3 linked regions of the Schizosaccharomyces pombe genome follow. The protein of the gene in region 1 purifies or fractionates together with the protein of each later gene. This does not show direct contact. Each region holds a gene or a part of one and is shown on either strand. Other genes may lie near its edges.

Region 1 (6,923 bases):
GTATCGATGTGTGGGGAAAGGAAATTTTGAAGACTATTGGAAGCAAAGTATTATTTCAATCCTAAAGGAATATCATCTTACTTTGGATTTTTTGTTTCAATTTGTTATAGAACCGCAAACATACCCAACTCGTGAAGAGAATTTGATGTTTCCAAAACTCAAAGGCCACTACGAAGAAACTTATCAGAAAGCTTTACACAGATGCAGAACTCTAAACTTGATTTTAATTTCTTTTTTAAGTACAAAGACGGATAAAATCGTTTTGCTTCCCATAAATGCTTTGAAGGATTTAATTCAACGTGTTTATACTGTACAACTTTCATTGCCTGTTAAAAGCGTAGAAAGTTCAGTTCAAGCTTTGCTATTCATGGTCCTTCCTCATTTGCATACGCTAGTTAATGAGTTAACCTTAAAGCTTTTTGTGGTAATTCCTCCAGCTATCATTCTTTCATTTGATTCTTACCTGGATTCATTAAATGATTGTTTACTTTCTGAGTCAACACATACTGGGGTTTTATGCTCTTCTTTAAAGTTACTTTCAAAGTTTTTGGATGTGACACATATGAATGTCCCTCTTTCAAAATACGAAAATATTGTAACGCTGGTATTAGAATATCTTGCTAATTCCTCTAAAGGTTTAGCATCCAAATCCATAGAGTTCTCTAAAAATCGTGGGCATTCTCAAAAAAAGCGAAAAACACTTTCTGAAAGTCAAGCAGGAGATACACTTATGAGTTCGGAAGAGTCTCATCAGCTTTATGATTCAGATGTCATGGATTGTTGTTTTTCTTTTTTAGCATCCATTTTGACTCATTCAATAGCATTACCACGTTTATTACGGACCAAAATAGATCTTTGCACCTTGCAGATATCTTTGTCTAACCCTACCTCAACAGTTTTGATATCTATGCATAATTTACTCCTTGCGTCAATTTTATCACCGGGAGATTCACAAGCAGTGATAGTACCTCATGCAATACGTATAATTTCTGGTCCATTAGGGCTTGTACATCCAGATCCTCTGGTCGCTTCACACGCAAGGTCATCGATGCAAACAATAGAATCGCTGATTCATCCTAGGTTCCCACCTTTGCAAAAACATCTTTCACCAAGCGAATTTGAAAATACGTTTGAGTCAAGATTTGAGCCTGTTTCTCTTGAAAACCAATCGCATATTTCTCCACCCCAGGTGGATTCTCAATCAGAGTATAAAGAAAGTAGTATTTTGGCTCCATCAAATCCTCCCTTTGAAACAGAGTCGATTACAGATTCCACTGAAATTGAAGGGATCAAAGAGTCTTTTGCATCTACAGATACAGGCTTACAGAATAATTCTACAGCTACCTCCGAGAACAAAAGAAGCGAATCAGAGCTGACTATGTCTAATGTTCTTTCTAATGAGGGTGACAGAAATGAAGAAGGTAGTGAAATCAACTCTTCTCAACCTTCAACTATTAATCACGGGACTGATCACATTAACATTGTTTCGGAAAACAAGGAAACAACTGTTTCACTGTTGCATGGAGATGTTGAGGTTGAGGAGACTACAAATGTTGCATTAAACAATTCTCAGGACACTGAAACCAAATTTACTGCTATAGACGTTGACTTTGTTGACCGACCTACTAGTGTAGTTTCAAGCCAAATTGAAAACATAAATGGTGATGAAAATGGAAACACAACTTCTTCAGTCGTCGAAACTTTTGAAAAAACAACGGATGTCGTAGATGAGAAAACGACTTCTATTAATGTGGAAGGAAACGGAGAAGATGATGAGGAGGAAGACAATATCTCTTTGCCAAGTATAAACTTGGAATCTGATAGTGATAGTTAGTCTTAATTTATAAAAAGGATTTGGGGGTACTGAATGTTTATTTTAAATTCTATTTCTAGATAAGTAGGTTGTCATTTAATCCAAGCTGATTTTTATAAAGTCCTGTATGTATTATCGTCATGGCAAAAAAGGTACATCAAGCTGATATTTGGAGGTTAAAATCAATTGATTTTGACCTCCAGAATACATTGCTTATGTGTTCTCCTTTTTAATTAGCTAAATTTTCCAGTAATACAAAGTACAAAGTCTTGTGTTATCCGCAAAAATTTTTAATTAATCATTTTTATACCATTGGTGTCACAAAAATCCCGATTATTTTAGAGTTAGACTGTCGTTTATGTTTTTTGAGAAAGAATTAAAACAACTTATCTAGTCTAGTGTTTAAAAGAATTTTATACTGTTTCATTAAGAATAATGAAGATATCCCTTTCCAAAGGCAAAAGAAAAGTCGATAACTATATAATGCAAGCTTCTAAACAAACTTGAATTAGTGATTGCAACATTTCTTTTGCCAACAATATTTAAATCCTTCATTGCTTGACACATGGTTTTATGAGAAAAATTAAGAAAGAACATTAAGTACTTCAAATAAATTTGTTGAAGGATCCAAAATTCTCCAAATAGACTTTTTTTATATGAAGATACCATTCATTCAGCTTTGACTCGCATGCGAGCTCTCTGGACAATAAACGATCAAGCCAGCGAGGTATACTGTAACCATAATATCACGAATAGTACAATAAACTTTTTTTTAAAAAAATCTAAATGTACTAACCAGAGAAGCATAAAAGAGCTCTTATAGTTCCATAAAGGATACGTTTTATCCACATAGCACTCTCTTAAAATTAAATGCTGGAATGTCGTTTTGGATAGATTATGCAATTGTGCAATAGTAATTCCTTAACAACTGATAGTTTTTGTTCAATTTATCATTCTGTTTTATTCATCCTGGATACCTTTAACTCCATGTCAGTATTTTCTGTTGTACGGCCACGAGAGTACGGATTTTTGAATTGGTTTCAATGTTAGGATCAATTACTAACGTTCCATTTCTTAGTTTAAGAGACGCATACTTCATTCACATCTTCTAATCCTGACTGTTCTAGATAAGAAGTCATCTTAATTCGCTACGTTAACAACATTATACATTAACTACACACATATTGCCAAATTTTAGTAATTCATAACAAGAGTGTTTTCCAGTAAAGGAGTTGGATCTTGAAATGTACCACTAAAATAGATGATTTTGAAATAAAAATGGAATGGATGGAATTATGAAAAACGACTTGTTATGGTTCGGCAACCACGTTTTCGACCTTACGCCAAATTCATTTGATTCTGATTTTGTCGAGCAGCTTTCGAAATTTGAGGGAAAAGAAGGATTGAAGAGGAAGTTATTTGACTCCTCGGAATACTTTCAAAACTTTTCATTTCAAGTAAACGATGATCTGTTGGGAAAAGATGTCATTCTCGATATTTCAAATCAACAACTAACACCCGCTGTGCCTGGGTGTGAGACATCATCCAATTCCAAACTCATAAGCGCATCTAAGGAAATTACTTCAGAAAGAAAAAGAGCTAAATCCTCAGTGTCCCCCTCTTATCTTACAGATTCATCACCCAGCGATTTATCTGTCGAAAACAAAGTTCTGCTAACATGCCCTAGCTGGGATGGAGAAAATTTTAAAAATTTAGAAGCTAGATCTCCATTCATATCTGAAGCGCCTTCTCGGGTATATGATTATTTTCTTCATAATCAGGATTGGAGTCCGAAACCATTATTTTCTGCACTGCAAGTTTACCCTTTAGCAACTATTTTCAATTGCGTGGCTGGTTTACCACAAGGATTTGAAAGCACAGTGTTTCCATGGAACAAAACCTCAAGCACATTTGAACTCGATCCGACCATCTCCGTTTCAGGAATGTCCGATGAATGTTTTGCTAGTATCGTCCAGAAATTTTCTGCAATTGGGGGTTTAATAAAAAAAGCTTTAAATGAATTCTCTTTATACAAGACCAACATTTCTTTTTATTTATCAAATTTCATTGTGAATGGTGTCTTGCAGTATCGAAAGGAGTTTCAGCGTTGGCTTCGTCTTTATGAGTTCCGTAGATTCGGTCTGATTGGTTTAAGTAACTTTGTTAATTCTTTTTCTTCATTCTTTGAGTTAATTTCACACTTCTTAATAAAATCGGCTCAAAACCTAAAAGGAGATTCCTTGTTAGATTTTCTTTTTGATTATGCGCGTTCATGTCAGAATACCATATCTTACCCCATTGCCCTACAGTGCTTGATATATTGCTCAAATCCCTACTTCAAAAGGCTTGAGCTTGCTTTAAAAGTTTCTTGTGCGTATGGTCACATTGATTCTTCATTGTTCTTATCACTTCCCCGTTTTTTTCCTTCTGAACTTTGTGTAAGCATTGAACAGTGTATTCAATTTTTGTCATTAATAAGGGAACAAAAAGAAATATTTAATAAAAACAACAAAGAATTTATTAACCCTTTGAACATTCGGTTCGCATATTCTTTCAACGACATAAATCAAGCTTGTGTAATAGAGGAGCGCTGCAACTTTTCTTCGCTTTCTTTTGGTAATTTGGAACAAACTTCCGTCAATAATGACAGTGAAGAATTTGAAACGCTGCTTGCTAAAATGAACATGACTCCAGATTTCAACGATAATTTATTACAACTTAAATTTACAGATGATGTGCGCAACGTCTGTCCGCTTAACTTGAATGTTTGCTGCTGTATTGCTGAGCCAATACAATCTTTTATTCTCAGTTTCTTACGTTCGACATATAAAGTTTTAAAAAACGATTTTCAGGTGTTTGATCTTTTAAATTTTTTTCATTCCACTTTTCTTTTTCAAAATTATGAATTCTCTGATAATGTCATTTCTCTGTTAAAATCAAGAAGGCTTGATAAATCTGACCGTAATGAGTTGGCTGAGGACTTGAACTCTGATGACAGATATAATTTTATTTCTCGATTGAAAAAATTCATTTTTATGGAAAAAGAAAAAAATGGGTTGAGCAGGTCTTTATCTAAGAGTATAACTTTTACATTGGATTCTGCGAGCGTTAGTGAATTTGAGGATGTGTACCCTGATTTACAATTCCAATGCCAAGTAATAGGTGCTTTACGGATATTATTTACTGATAACTCTTTAAATTATTATTCGAAAACTTTTTCTTACGTTTTACATCTCTTTCAAGCTCAATCAGACTTTGAATCATCTGTCGAATTGAAAGATCGTTCTATAGTAACAAAAACAACTATTATGTCATGGTCTAAGTATCAAGGCACGAAAGAATCTCTTTTTCAGTTTCTTTCAATATACATTCCAGAGTGTATGTTGCCTTTTACGAAATTACTGAAATCCATATATTCTCCTGACTGTCCTACGAACATACAAAATTCTGCAATTAAAAATGCGGCTTCAGTTCACGAGCAGTGCACTAAAGCAATTTATCAAAAGGTCAAAGAGTTGTTTGATACCATGAAACTCTGGGAGTCATCCATCAAAGTGTCATAACAAAAAACCAGATCCGGATGACGGATTTTTACGAGTGTAAACATGCTAATCTCACCTTTAAGTTTGAAGAATATACGATTTTACAGCAGAAAAAAATTTATAAGCACAACACTTACAGAAAATTCCTTGCATAAAATGATAAAGAATGTAAAGAAGTATTTGGATAAATTCATGAGTAAAGTATTTACTAGAGATATATCTTAATCTAAGTTTAAACAACCTGTGCCAAACAAAAGGAAATTAATTTAACAAAGAAAGGGATGAAGAATTAAAAGGAATCAAAATAGAAATGAACAGTCAAGCTTATGATTGATTGTTTGAAGATCAAACATATCAAGGTAAAGTGCCATGATCACAGGAAAATACGCAATGTAGTTTAGTAAGTTATTTTGGTGCAAAAATATATGCGCTTTAATGGTGGAACATACCAGTATGTCCCACTTAATTTGCTCGTTCAAAAAATGCATGCAAAAAAAAAAAAAAAGATACAAATCTGTAAATACCTCACGCAAATATAAGAGTGCAAATAAAGACATGTTGAGAAAAGAGTAGAGGCAAAAGCCAAAAGATAAAAATCTTACTGGACGCCTATCACTTTGGTGAAGTTGAGGGTAAACGGACAAGGAATGCATGAAAAAGGAAGGAGGTAAGTGATAATTTAATGTTAGCAAGGAAGACATGCAAGTAAGGAACAAGTGCCCATGTTCCTTATTTTAGATTTTTTTTAAAGAAAAAGGGAATCTATGCGAAATCCTTTACCACAAGAAGGCATTGTCACGGTAGTTAAAGACACTGGTAATGTTTGGATTTATTTTGGAAGTAGTGTTAACAATAACATGGTCATCGGCAACAGGGATACGACTGTCGTTGGTATATACACAAATACCTTGACCTTTATAGCCAATATTACGGCAAGTAGCACCACCAAATGGAGTGCGCAAAGCAGAGTTACAATTAACGGGGTATTGGGTGCCATTGAAGCAAGTGTTAACCAAGTAAGGGTAATCCGTATTACACAAAGTCATGTTGCAAGACCAATCCATTGAGGAATCACGAGTGAATAAGATGGGTTGATCAACAATGTTGGTATAGCTTAAAGATATACCGGAAGAACGCTTGCTGTGAGTGCTCGTACTTCCCGAACTAACGGAAGTGGTCACGTTGATAACATTTGCATTGTCAAAGTTGGAAGAATTAGCGCTAGTGGAGTAGTTGGAGGATCCGATCTGACAAAGACCGCGAGTTAGTCCGTAGGAAGAATTGGTTTCAACACATGCGGAACCACGACCCTTGGGATAACCAAGCACAGTAGGGCAGTTCAAGAGAACAGTGCTATGATTAGCGCAAATGGCAATTACATCGGGTGAAACACAAAGGTTGGAGCCACTTACATGGCAATATGTACCTTCCGAAATATTATAATAGGAGGTAGAAGCTATAGCAGAACTCAAGTCAGGAAATGTGTCAGTTGCACGCTTATATAAAGAAATCTCACGCCTTTTACAAGCAGGAGCACCTGGTATGCCACAAAGCTTGATGGACGAGAC
Region 2 (6,397 bases), on another chromosome or scaffold:
CTGTAAAGTATATTTGCTAGTTTCTAATTATTTCTTTCTCCCTCTCTCTGTTTCTCTTGTTTCCTCTTACATGGTGGGGGATTGATAATTTTGGGCAATCCACTGTGAGATAAGTTTTCGTTTTTCTTACTCCTTGATGCGATAATTCTAAAGTCATATGATTCCTTTGCCTCACACCCAGCTATCGCCCCCATACTTAATCATACAATCTGTACTCACTTTTCATAGTAACTCTATCCTTTCGTAATAACCATCCTACACTAATCTAAATTGACGTTTTCCTTCGATATTACAATTTTTGTATGCGCTTTACTAGCTTACCTGTTCCTTTGTTTACGCATCCATTAAACTTTTAACTGCAAAATACAATTACTAGAAATTCATTACGAGTGCACACAAATGAATAGTTTTGCGTATACAATACTATAACCACCTAAATTAAACCTTGGTTTGGTTTTTATATACATACATCATCATCATTACTGTCGTAGCAACTGTACTTCTTCACATAACAAAGTTCATTACTATAGCTGTCTATGGTACAAACGTTAGCATACATTGTATCACTTCAAAATCAATCGATAGCTCTTTAGACTAGGAACAAATGCTTAGCCTCTCTCTTCGTTCTTCCTCAATCACGCGGCATACTGCCGACTTGCCTTAAATTTAGCGACATAGCTAATAAAAAATTAGCGATCAAAAATCCAAGTTACCATTCCTCAGGCATTATCAGCAAACCCTGTTTCAGACATTTTAAAAAATCGATTATTTTTTATATAACACAAGTGTTGGCATATTAAACGCTCGCCATGCCTTTCTCCATAATCATTCTTAAATTCATGGCCAATGGCAGTCGTCTTTTTGTCAATTTTTAACCGAATAGTGCAGTACGCTTTTAGTGTGACAACTGGCCAAAAAAAAGTCCAAACTACTGAAAATGGACCAATGTATACTGCGGATAAGCAATGCTTGTTTATGAAGATAATTGGCCATTCCGCAAGATCCTCACTCCAAGTCATTTCTTTATTAACGAGTACAAGCAACAAGATGTCAAAGATAAGGTTATCCAAAAACCGACTATATAAATATCCATAAAAGTTTTTCTCCCAATTTCCATTGCTGTTTGTCAGATGTTTCTTCATATCTCAATAAAACAATAGTAACGTTGTTCCATTTGTAGTTTTTCTACCTTGCCTTGTTTTATCTTGTCTCTTCTTAGTTATCCCGTCAATTTCATTACTAAACTTAAAAGAGCCGCCGTCTCAGTACTTGCAAAGTAGTTACAAGCATTCACTAAGGATTTTAAATGACGACTAAAACTGTCTTCGTACCGGCGTAAAATTTCTTCCATCTTATCCATTCTTCCTTCATCAAAGCTTTCTTCGGAATTCTCAAGCAAATATAAGGATCGGGTAAACGTGGAAGTATAAGAGGCAAACATAGCACAAGTATTAAGTAATTTAGATTGTACTTTAAGTAATCGCGAGTTAGTAAGCATGCATTCTTTTAGACACGTATCCAAAAAATCGATATGCTCCTGCATTAAATTATCCACAGTTCGGGCGTTCTCAAGTTCTCCCATAAATTTCCCCCAATGTGTTTCAATCACCTCACTTGTAGTATAGTAGATTATTTTTTGAACAAAACTAAGCATTCGTGTCCTTAATAACCAGCTGTTCCTTTTCCATTGTTCGATTTTCGCATTGGAGGAATTGAGACGCCAAGCACTATTCTTGCTGTGCTGCACCCAACTATTCTCAAGTTGCATTTCAACGTGACGAAGTAAAAGAAAATATCTGAACAAAAGTTGATATCGAATAATAGCTTTGCGGGATAAAATAAGTGAAAGGGGAAATGGAACTTTATAGCATAGTTGCATCGTTTCAAATCCATTAATATCTTTATCGCTACCAACTTTTGAAGTCCCCTGTGTGCTCCGATTGTGTTCACTCTCAAAATTTCGAGTTTCATTGCCCACATCCGCTTGCTTCGTGATTGATTCATTCCAAACTTCGTTTCCCTGAGATGATGTTCCTTCTTCCAAACCACTGATACTTACAATATGCATGAGCCAGTCTATTAATGATGTTTGATTCACTTCTACAGTCACGTATTCTTTATGTGGATCAGTCGCAGTTATCGTACCAGGCTGACGAAGGGCTAAATCTAATTGCGACTGCAACTTCGTGATAGATATATACTTTGCAGGTTTTCGTAGCTCGTGTTGAGCATTGTCAAGAAATGTTGTAAAAAAGTCAGATTGATCAAGGAAAAAATAATGTTTGAGCGAGTACAGATGAGCGTAAAGAGACTGTGAAGACTGGAGTAATTGCAAGAGAGATTCATTTGCATAAACATAGGCATTCATGATATTTAAAGTAAAGTTATCATCATCGAAGGTTGAAGGCCAGAGCAACTGGTTTTGAGTATCGTCTTTTGCATTTAACGAAGCCAGGTTATTAACTCCCTTCCTACACTCTAAAACGACGTTCAAATACTTGCCTGCAAAGAGTACCTTGTTTTGTAAATCAAGCAATTGTGGAGGAACTTGATCCTCTCGAATCACGTATCGTTTTTCCCAATATTCATCTGTGTAGTCTTCATCAAGTTGCATAGATGTGATTCCTTTGTGTATTTTTATCATAAATTCATCATATGGGTCATTTACGAGCCCGAGATGGATCCACTCATTCAACATTTTTGTATAAGGGCGTGAAGCTTCGCGCAATAAATAGGTTAGGATTTTTCGTGCCACAGGATCACCCGCATATTTCGTAAGACTTTCGGTCAAAAAAGAAATGACTTGCCCACCTTTACAAACCTTTTTCTTAGACCTAGTGGCATTAACAACATGTGAAATGTCATTTCCTTCATTAAGTTGCTCTAAAAGATCGTCGATGTTACTAAGACCTAAATCATCGCTGCTGGAAGCATTCTTTTCCATAGACAAAAGCAGGTCACGTAGAATTAAATACACTTGTCGTAATGAACGCGATGTGGGAAGAGTATAAAGGCGAAGAGTTTGAAGAGAAAAATTTGGATCAATTCGGCTCTGATTTTCACACTGCATGATAAGTACCACGTAGTCCATCACAAACTTTCGCAAAGCAGCGCACAATGCGTGGTTAACAAATCCGTATTCAAAATGGCTTCTCGATTCTATAAAAGCTGTGATACTTAAATAATGAGACCCCATCTCTAACATCTCAGAAGCAATATCCTTTATACCTAAATCAAATCCAGGAAGAATATAAAACGATGGCGGCATAATAATGGTTTCAAACTCAGAGGATGCTTTCATGTCTTGGAGATGTACAAATACACCCTCCATGCCCATAAATGCATTTAAGAGTTCGTTTATGAGACATGCTTCCTGCTGATGGATATTTAAGTTCGAAGGATCGCTAAAAGTCTTCCCATCGTAAAGATAATTTAATTGAATCCTATCAGAAAATGGAGAAACACCTTCACTCTTCAAAGAGACATGATAAACGCTCCCTTCCTCGAGAGCTGGAATTGGACTCCCATTCTCGCTTTCTTCTTTAGCAAGCACCGAACTAATCGATCTCACCATTTAAAGAGTCTTTTTTTATATAATCTACAAAAGTGTGAACATTTATTTAATATTTAGTGCTCTTTGTAATTATTATTCGGATATGCTTGTTTACCAGCAGGCCAGTTTTAAGATGTAGGTTGGTAAGTATGCGCCAGCTAACAATCAACGCAATTTCAAAGCAAACCAACTCAGGTCCGTGTAGCATTAAAAAATGCAAAAAAGTATAAAAAAAATTAGTCAAAAAATACATAACTAGAAGACTGCAGCATTTTCTATTGTAAGACTACCGTAAACTCAAAGGACCCCAAATACTCATTCGAGTATATATGGATAGCAGTAGACAGTGACAAATTCTATATGCTAGAGTTTATTTTGAATGGATAAAAATTTTAGATCCTAAGCTTGAGGGATTTATTCCCTTCATCTTTTTTTTTTTTTTTTTTTTTTTTTTTTTGTTGTGTTTAAATTTTTTATTCTAATGCAGACTACTTCGCTTTATTTACTAGCCAGTAGGTAATATTTGCATAATAAAAGCAATAAATTTAGCTCGGTTTTATGTTAATTATACATTTACTTGTTATTTCTTTAACAAAATAAATTTTTTCAAAAATACATATAAGCATCAATGATTTATTTACAGATAAAATGCTTTTCTAGGGAAGCAAGGATTTTGTAGTCGCATGAAGCTGGTGGTGAAATCACAAACATTACATCTATCAAAGTGTATATTGGTTGTAAAATCTCGAGTTCATCTTTTAAAAAAATAAATACAAAAAAAAAATTTATTGGTAAATGCACATACATTAAATTACTACCTCAATGCTTTATGAACATGAAAAATCCATACACCTAATCACAGGCATTCATCTGCTATACACTTATTCCGACGACCTCTTTGTTACTATATAATATTATGATTAGGAATTTTTTAGCGATATATCAATAAAATGGTTTAGCGAGATATACAAGCACTTTTCACTTTTAGCTTAAGCTTCATTGTGGCTTTTGCTCGTTTTACATCATGTCAGGTTACAGGAGGTAACGACCTGCATTGATACCTTGAGCATGTAGGAAACTGAATATCCAACAAAGAAAGAGCATAATAGCTACAGTCTTGAGCCCACCCCTTTAATATCAAATTATAACGTGTAAAATGGTATGAATAACTTTTTTAATTAATCAAAAGCATTCTTTTGTATGAAAATACTAATTATGATTCATAGACTGGTGTTCATGAAGGGACTGTGTTGGTTACTGGCGGCGCTGGTTATATAGGTTCTCATACGGTACGTAGAGAGCTTGAAGATACAGAAGAGGATTAGTAATGTACATGTAAATGTTTTAAGCACGCATCTTTTGTGAATATAGCTTGCTGCTCTTTACTTTTATACAATTTCGTCCATATTCTATAAAGCTCTTTTTTGAGATATTTTGCTAACCACAATCTGCAATAGTGCGTTGTTTTGTTAGAAAAAGGATATGATGTTGTAATTGTCGATAATTTATGCAATTCTCGCGTTGAAGCCGTGCACCGCATTGAAAAACTCACTGGGAAAAAAGTCATATTCCACCAGGTGGATTTGCTTGATGAGCCAGCTTTGGACAAGGTCTTCGCAAATCAAAACATATCTGCTGTCATTCATTTTGCTGGTCTCAAAGCAGTTGGTGAATCTGTACAGGTTCCTTTGAGTTATTACAAAAATAACATTTCCGGTACCATTAATTTAATAGAGTGCATGAAGAAGTATAATGTACGTGACTTCGTCTTTTCTTCATCTGCTACCGTGTATGGCGATCCTACTAGACCTGGTGGTACCATTCCTATTCCAGAGTCATGCCCTCGTGAAGGTACAAGCCCATATGGTCGCACAAAGCTTTTCATTGAAAATATCATTGAGGATGAGACCAAGGTGAACAAATCGCTTAATGCAGCTTTATTACGCTATTTTAATCCCGGAGGTGCTCATCCCTCTGGTGAACTCGGTGAAGATCCTCTTGGCATCCCTAATAACTTGCTTCCTTATATCGCGCAAGTTGCTGTAGGAAGATTGGATCATTTGAATGTATTTGGCGACGATTATCCCACATCTGACGGTACTCCAATTCGTGACTACATTCACGTATGCGATTTGGCAGAGGCTCATGTTGCTGCTCTCGATTACCTGCGCCAACATTTTGTTAGTTGCCGCCCTTGGAATTTGGGATCAGGAACTGGTAGTACTGTTTTTCAGGTGCTCAATGCGTTTTCGAAAGCTGTTGGAAGAGATCTTCCTTATAAGGTCACCCCTAGAAGAGCAGGGGACGTTGTTAACCTAACCGCCAACCCCACTCGCGCTAACGAGGAGTTAAAATGGAAAACCAGTCGTAGCATTTATGAAATTTGCGTTGACACTTGGAGATGGCAACAGAAGTATCCCTATGGCTTTGACCTGACCCATACCAAGACATATAAGTAAACCATACTCTTCCTTTTCGGATTAAGTGGGTTTTAAATAATTTCCTTCTCTTTCTTGATTCAAATTTGCATAATATGTTTTAGGACTTATGGATTCAAAGACATTATAATGTATTGTTTGATGAACCCTTTTCCCTTTCCTGTACCTTAATTGTTTATTGTAAGTGCGCTCGAGCTATCGATTAGGTCGCTAATAATACCGGTTTGCGAATAACTTATGTTTTAAAAGGGATTTAACAATGAAGCTTATTTCAAAACAATCACTTTCGGTTTACATTTTTATTTCTTTCTTTTGCATACGCATTTTCGTCAAGTTGACATTTTTTCTAATATTGAAGTTTCTTTATATTTCACCTTTTAATTGTATTTTTTTATTCAAAGGTTCT
Region 3 (5,577 bases), on another chromosome or scaffold:
ATGCCGAACATAAAGGAAAGCCTTTTTATGAGAAACTCGTTGGTTTCATGGCATCAGGCCCTGTATGTGCCATGATATGGGAAGGTAAACAAGCCGTGAAAACTGGTCGCTTAATGTTGGGCGCCAGTAACCCTCTGGATTCTGCCCCTGGCACTATTCGCGGTGATTATGGTATCGACCTTGGTAGAAACGTTTGCCATGGTTCTGATTCCATAGAAAGCGCTAATCGTGAAATTAAACTTTGGTTCCAGCCTTCGGAAATCCAAGTTTACGATCGTACAATTGAACCTTGGATTTACGAATGAATAAGAAGAAGTTAAAGAGCCTCTTCAAAAGGACTCGTGTTTGTTATGGGTGATGCAAACTATCAGCAACACCCAAAGCAAATAAATATGACTAATGATTTTCTACCTTCATTAAAGCACACTATCATTTTTTTTAATAGATATAGGTCTTTTTCAAATATCATTCGTTAGTAAACGACATGAAACTAGAGAAATCGCATGTAAGTCAGTATGGTTTTACTCATCCAAAAGGTTACTTTTATGAAATCTATTGATTCTATACACGTAATGGTAAATATTATGGCATTTTATCGTAATCATGGCATTATAAGGAATAATAAGTCAGCCAAATTTCGTCTACATCGATAGGCAGAACTACCAATGGGAACAGAAGGATGTATGAGATTGTCCGCTAGTTTCGCTATTATATTACAGGTTTGGTCCAACGTAAATAACGGATCATTTTTAATTCCTGAAACGGTCGAAATTTGATATGTATTTTCCATGACATCTGGTAGCTCTTGCTTTTGACAATTGAGCAGCTCTTCATTTAAGAGCTTCTTTATGTCATCAACAAAAAATTCAGATAAACATTTCTGCTTTTGCTTTAAAATAAGTTTCTCTTTTTCCCCTATTACAGATTCATCATCAACATCATTATTAAGCGTTTCAAAAACGCCGTTGAATATAGAATTTTCATCAACTTCAGTAAAAGATTGATATAGTGTTAGGAAAAAATTATGACAGGTGTTGACGAATACATAATGCCCATAATAGAAACGACTAAATCTTTTTGACCATAACGACTTTTTAGCTTCTTCTTGTTGTTTTATTAAATTTTCAAACTCCCCCATTAAACTTTGAAAGTCAAAAGATAAATCCAAAGATTTACCAAGCTTTAAAATTTTGCTTCTAATTAATATTTCCATTTCCACAAGTAAATTGTTTAGAGTTGGAGATTGGTCAAAAACAATACTACCCAATTGGAGAGCAATATTGTCTTTCTCAAGGAAATTGTTAGGAAAATCCTTACAAAGGATTAAAATGTTATATAGAGGCCTGGCTATAGTCATAGAACTGGTAATTTGTGAGGCTTGATTAACCATCCACAATAACATTGCAATAGCAGAAGCTTTATAGAGCTTGAACATTTGTGAAGAGTAATTCCTTGTTGAATATATGAACTCCAATGTTTTAACAAAATCCCACATATTCGTTGCTGATTTTTCGTAAGCGAAACGAAAGCACAATAGTGGATCAACGAATTTTTTTACATGTTGAAAAAATTGAAAAAGAGTACAGTTCTTTGTAGCGTTATAAACTTCTGTTTCGAGTTTAATAAGCTCTTGGTGTGTGTTTTTTAAACAACTTAAGAGATGTGGTTTTATTTGAGGATAAATGAAGACAACAGAGAGAAACGGCTCATTCTTGGTACTTTGGTCATCACTTTTAAAAAACGAATCGCTAGGAGATGTTAGTTTTTGTCGAAAAAATTCCAAGTTAGAACCGTAATCGGCAAGTTCTGTCATTATACTGCGAAGAATCTCTTCGCTCATGTGATGAAGCTTTGGTAATAAAGAAAGTCGTGTTTCAATTTTTGAACCATTTTTTAAGAAGAAAAAACTTGGATAACCTATCAACATATATATAGAGTCGCGAATAATACTTCTTTCAGATATTCGGACAGTTTCGTTCAAACTAGAATCCCAAAACATAAAGGGTTTTATCTGTAAAAAATCTAAATTCGGTTGCTTGCTTTTTTTAAATAAAGTACATAGCTTATTGTTAGACGCGTTGTCAGACTCCTCGATGATAGGGATGTGGATGTTGGCTGGTATCGTAATTTCATTAGCATTTCCATTGAAAGTTTCTTCCTCAGAGTCTTCTGTTATGGTTTCATCATCAGGCATTGAAGACCAGTCAGGCATCAACCAGTGGTCTCCTTCACAACTAGTTAATAACTGGATTATAGCTTCTTGTTCATTCTTGTTGCAATCTTTGTAGACGGGAATTTGTGGGACATGTATATCTGAGGGTGGTTTAGATAATTCAAGGAAAAGTTTTAATATTTGGGCATGCAATATACTTTGCTTGACACTAACGGTTTGACGATTGAGAACTTCACAAGCGTTTCGTAAAGGCATTTCTAAATCTTCCCGACCTTGTATACCCATTTTGTCACAGATGCTAGATCAAGTTAGTCTTAACATTCCAACAACAATCGGCAGATCTGCTTTACGTTACCCTTTTATATGTTCTATCATTTCATGAAATACCAATGTCGAACTAGGGACATTTTGAATGATTTTCTTTGAATGTTTTAACCATTCACTAGCAACTAATGAATCATTATGTATTAGTTCCCTTAAGAGATGCTGTAGGATTTGATCCGCACGAGACATTGTCATTTACAGTTCTTGATAAAACATTTATTAAGCTTTGCCTGTATTCTCATATGTTCTTTATTATGTGCTGATATTGCTAAAATGCCGATTAAGGAGTGTATATTTCGTATACTATCGCGAATGAAGGAAAATTTTTGTTTGACATGAGAGAAATGAGTTGAGTCAATTTATGACTGAAGGGGGTTAATCATTATTTGCCGTTAAGCTGTGTAAGTCATTTATAATAGTAATAAAAAAAAAACTAATATATTTTGTTTTAAACGTATTTACTGTTATTAGATTAACCGGCGCCGCTCCCTAACTGAAATAGTAAGAAAACTTCAAAATAAATAATGAATTCCGTATGCTCACTTGCAATGACTACAAGTTATACAGAGAAATTTACCAACCTTACACAACTGTAGTACTGTTATTAGAACGTATATTTTCTTACTAATTTATACCCATTTTTCATAAGTTGTGCATTAGTATTACCATGGTTTTTTAATATAAAATATTAAACAAATGGACTTTTAATCTTTGGAAAAAAAGATTCAGAACATTATATTGAAGAAAAGATTTTGGCTCTGATTTTTTTAATTATATTATCACACCATCAAGTTTGACCTTAAGATACCACGAAGTTAACAAATCTATACTTAGTAGAGGTTTAGCTAAAAAGTTTAGAACATGTAAAGACGTCGATAAATCTTGATTAAGGAATGGGAAAAAGGATTCACTGGATAAAAGGTAGTAATCGAATATAGACAAGGATGTAAAGCTAACGGACAATTAAGTACTTTCAAAATTCACAAAATCGTCGCCCGTAAGTCACTCCAACTATTAATTGGTAATTCTAAATGCAACGTTAAGCAGAACAAAGAAAAAAAAGGCACTTGTAGACTTTAGGGCTCAATATCAAGTTATAAGTAAGAGCAAAATCGGGTAATTAAAAACCATAAGAGGTACCACGAAAACATTATTTTTCATTGTTTAAACCTGAAGAAATAGGATACAGATTAGTAACTATATTATTGCATTTAACCTCGGCAATAGAAGCGTTACTTTTTGAGAGACGCTTTAAGTCCGCATTTTTAGAAGATTCTGATGAGTTACCTTTTGTTGCAGCTGCAGCCTTAGCTTTCATTTTGAGAGCAGCATTTTTCTTGTAAGTGTTATGGTAAAAGACGATAAACAAAACAAGGTATGAAGAGATTGTTGCGAGACCACAGAACGCCGCTAAAGGATGTCCTGAGCAATGGCCCATACAGGCTTTGTAAAACTTCAACCGATACGCAACCTCCGTGTATACTGCGAAATAAATAAAACCTAAATCAGCAAAGAACTGAACGATCTGAAAGCGGGTGACCCATTTCTTCCAAGGAACCCGAATACCTTTGGCTACAAGATAGTAGTAATAATACATAGTAACATGAACCAATAAATTGATTTCAATGATCAACCAACTGATGGAAGTTCTGCCAACAATTTGAGTATATACAAGAACGGCAGTGGCACCATGATGGTAGCAATGAAGGAATTGAAGGGGTTTTTTGCGGAGGACAAGGAAAAAAGTATCTGTCAATTCAAGCTAAAACGTATGTTAGAATGAAAAAAGTATGGTCAAAAAACGATGGAGACGTACGAATTTTGAAATATAAGCACAGTAGTATAAAAATACCAGCGGTTGAGTCCATGCTTTCTCATTGCAGATAGAAAAGAAAAAACCGTGCTTGTAAATAGCAGGGGCTACTTGTTCAAAAATCAAAAGTGCAAGGATAGCTGAAGCGATGGAAAAAGTCAAATTATAATATTGGAAAATCTTTTGAAGACGGATAGGTTGCCTATTACGCATAATTCTACCTCCGACAAGAATTAAAAGATAGTAAGATATGATGATGGTTGCAACGACCGGGGCGGACGAAAAGCGGGTTTTGTTTACGATAAATTCAAAGGAAGATGGCCGCTTTCCGAATGTGGCATCTGCCAGGGAATTTAACCATGACCTAAAAATTGTTAGTAAAAATCAACATGAAAGCCTCTCAATCGCATTAAAACTAGTGAAATTTCTATTGTTCTTTCAGACGCTTGCTTTCATGTTTGGTAGTACTTAACGACTACACACAAAAGTAACACATGATGTGCCTCAAAAAAAGACACACCCCAGAGATGAACATTCCACAATCAATCAGTAATACCAGCAATCCAACATCAGCTAAAAAGTCACAGAGTTTAACTTGAGATGAAAAAGTTTTGGATGAAAAAAATTTCAGTAAACCTAACGAAATTTTCACCCTTGTTGATTCCACCTACTCTGCCGAGTCTATCGGGCCGTCAGCGAAAATGATTGGCTAAGAGCTCGCTTTACGAACCGTTAAGCATCCACATGGTGGAGATCTTAATAAACAACGGAATGATAAAAAACAACAACGAAAACTAGAAATACCGATCCGCTTTTTATCAATTGAATATCTAACAGAGGATGCTGAACGGAACGATATAGCGAGCGACAGTGTAACAACGGTAAGCAAAGAAAGGACGACAACAAAGACCGGTATGCTGGTAGGAGAGTGTCAAAAACAAAGAAAACTCAAAACAGAAAGTGGCTGGTCTACAGTCAAAATTTCAGAAAATTCAAAATAAACAGCGCCGGAAGTAGAAAGGCATTGAACAAGGATAAACGAAAAATATATACTGATTGATTTGTGTGGAAAAAAAGCAAGCATCTTCTAGAAGAGAAATTCACGTACGCATCACTATGTAGGCACATTAGTGAGCAAAGCTATGGCAAACATGGAAAACAGTTAAATAGCTTAGCGGAGGCATAATATCGACAAACTCACCAGATGGGATACTGAAATTGTCCTACCGAAACAGATGCCATGCCTTGATGATTATTGTTAGAGGTT

Evidence for each region. Proteins that work in one complex are often made in the same cells at the same time.
Region 2: the proteins of alp16 (region 1) and alp4 purify together in Schizosaccharomyces pombe (affinity purification with western blotting; 3 studies listed by BioGRID, with this or other methods). This does not show direct contact.
Region 3: the proteins of alp16 (region 1) and mod21 purify together in Schizosaccharomyces pombe (affinity purification with western blotting, with the first as the bait; one study listed by BioGRID). This does not show direct contact.

What each region holds. Positions count from the first base shown.
Region 1 is NC_003421.2:430,848-437,770, reverse strand, and holds alp16 (gamma tubulin complex GCP6 subunit Alp16), read left to right. Parts: upstream 1-2,984; 5' UTR 2,985-3,096; coding exon 3,097-5,376; 3' UTR 5,377-5,507; downstream 5,508-6,923. Other genes in the region: ribosome biogenesis protein Rix1, read left to right, coding at 1-1,834; SPOM_SPCC306.11 (uncharacterized protein), read right to left, coding at 6,132-6,923. UniProt on the Schizosaccharomyces pombe protein: Component of the gamma tubule complex that is required for the regulation of both interphase microtubules and mitotic bipolar spindles.
Region 2 is NC_003423.3:2,521,238-2,527,634, reverse strand, and holds alp4 (gamma tubulin complex GCP2 subunit Alp4), read right to left. Parts: upstream 3,575-6,397; coding exon 1,220-3,574; 3' UTR 501-1,219; downstream 1-500. Other genes in the region: UDP-glucose 4-epimerase Uge1, read left to right, coding at 4,710-4,712, 4,780-4,842, 5,011-6,012. UniProt on the Schizosaccharomyces pombe protein: Component of the gamma tubule complex that is required for the regulation of both interphase microtubules and mitotic bipolar spindles.
Region 3 is NC_003424.3:248,079-253,655, forward strand, and holds mod21 (gamma tubulin complex GCP5 subunit Mod21), read right to left. Parts: upstream 2,849-5,577; 5' UTR 2,693-2,848; coding exon 2,529-2,692; exon of another isoform or gene 2,472-2,528; coding exon 602-2,471; 3' UTR 501-601; downstream 1-500. Other genes in the region: nucleoside diphosphate kinase Ndk1, read left to right, coding at 1-305; fatty acid elongase Elo1, read right to left, coding at 3,648-4,259, 4,314-4,674, 5,512-5,577. UniProt on the Schizosaccharomyces pombe protein: Component of the gamma-tubulin complex that is required for the regulation of both interphase microtubule organization and nucleation, and mitotic bipolar spindles. Required for correct septation.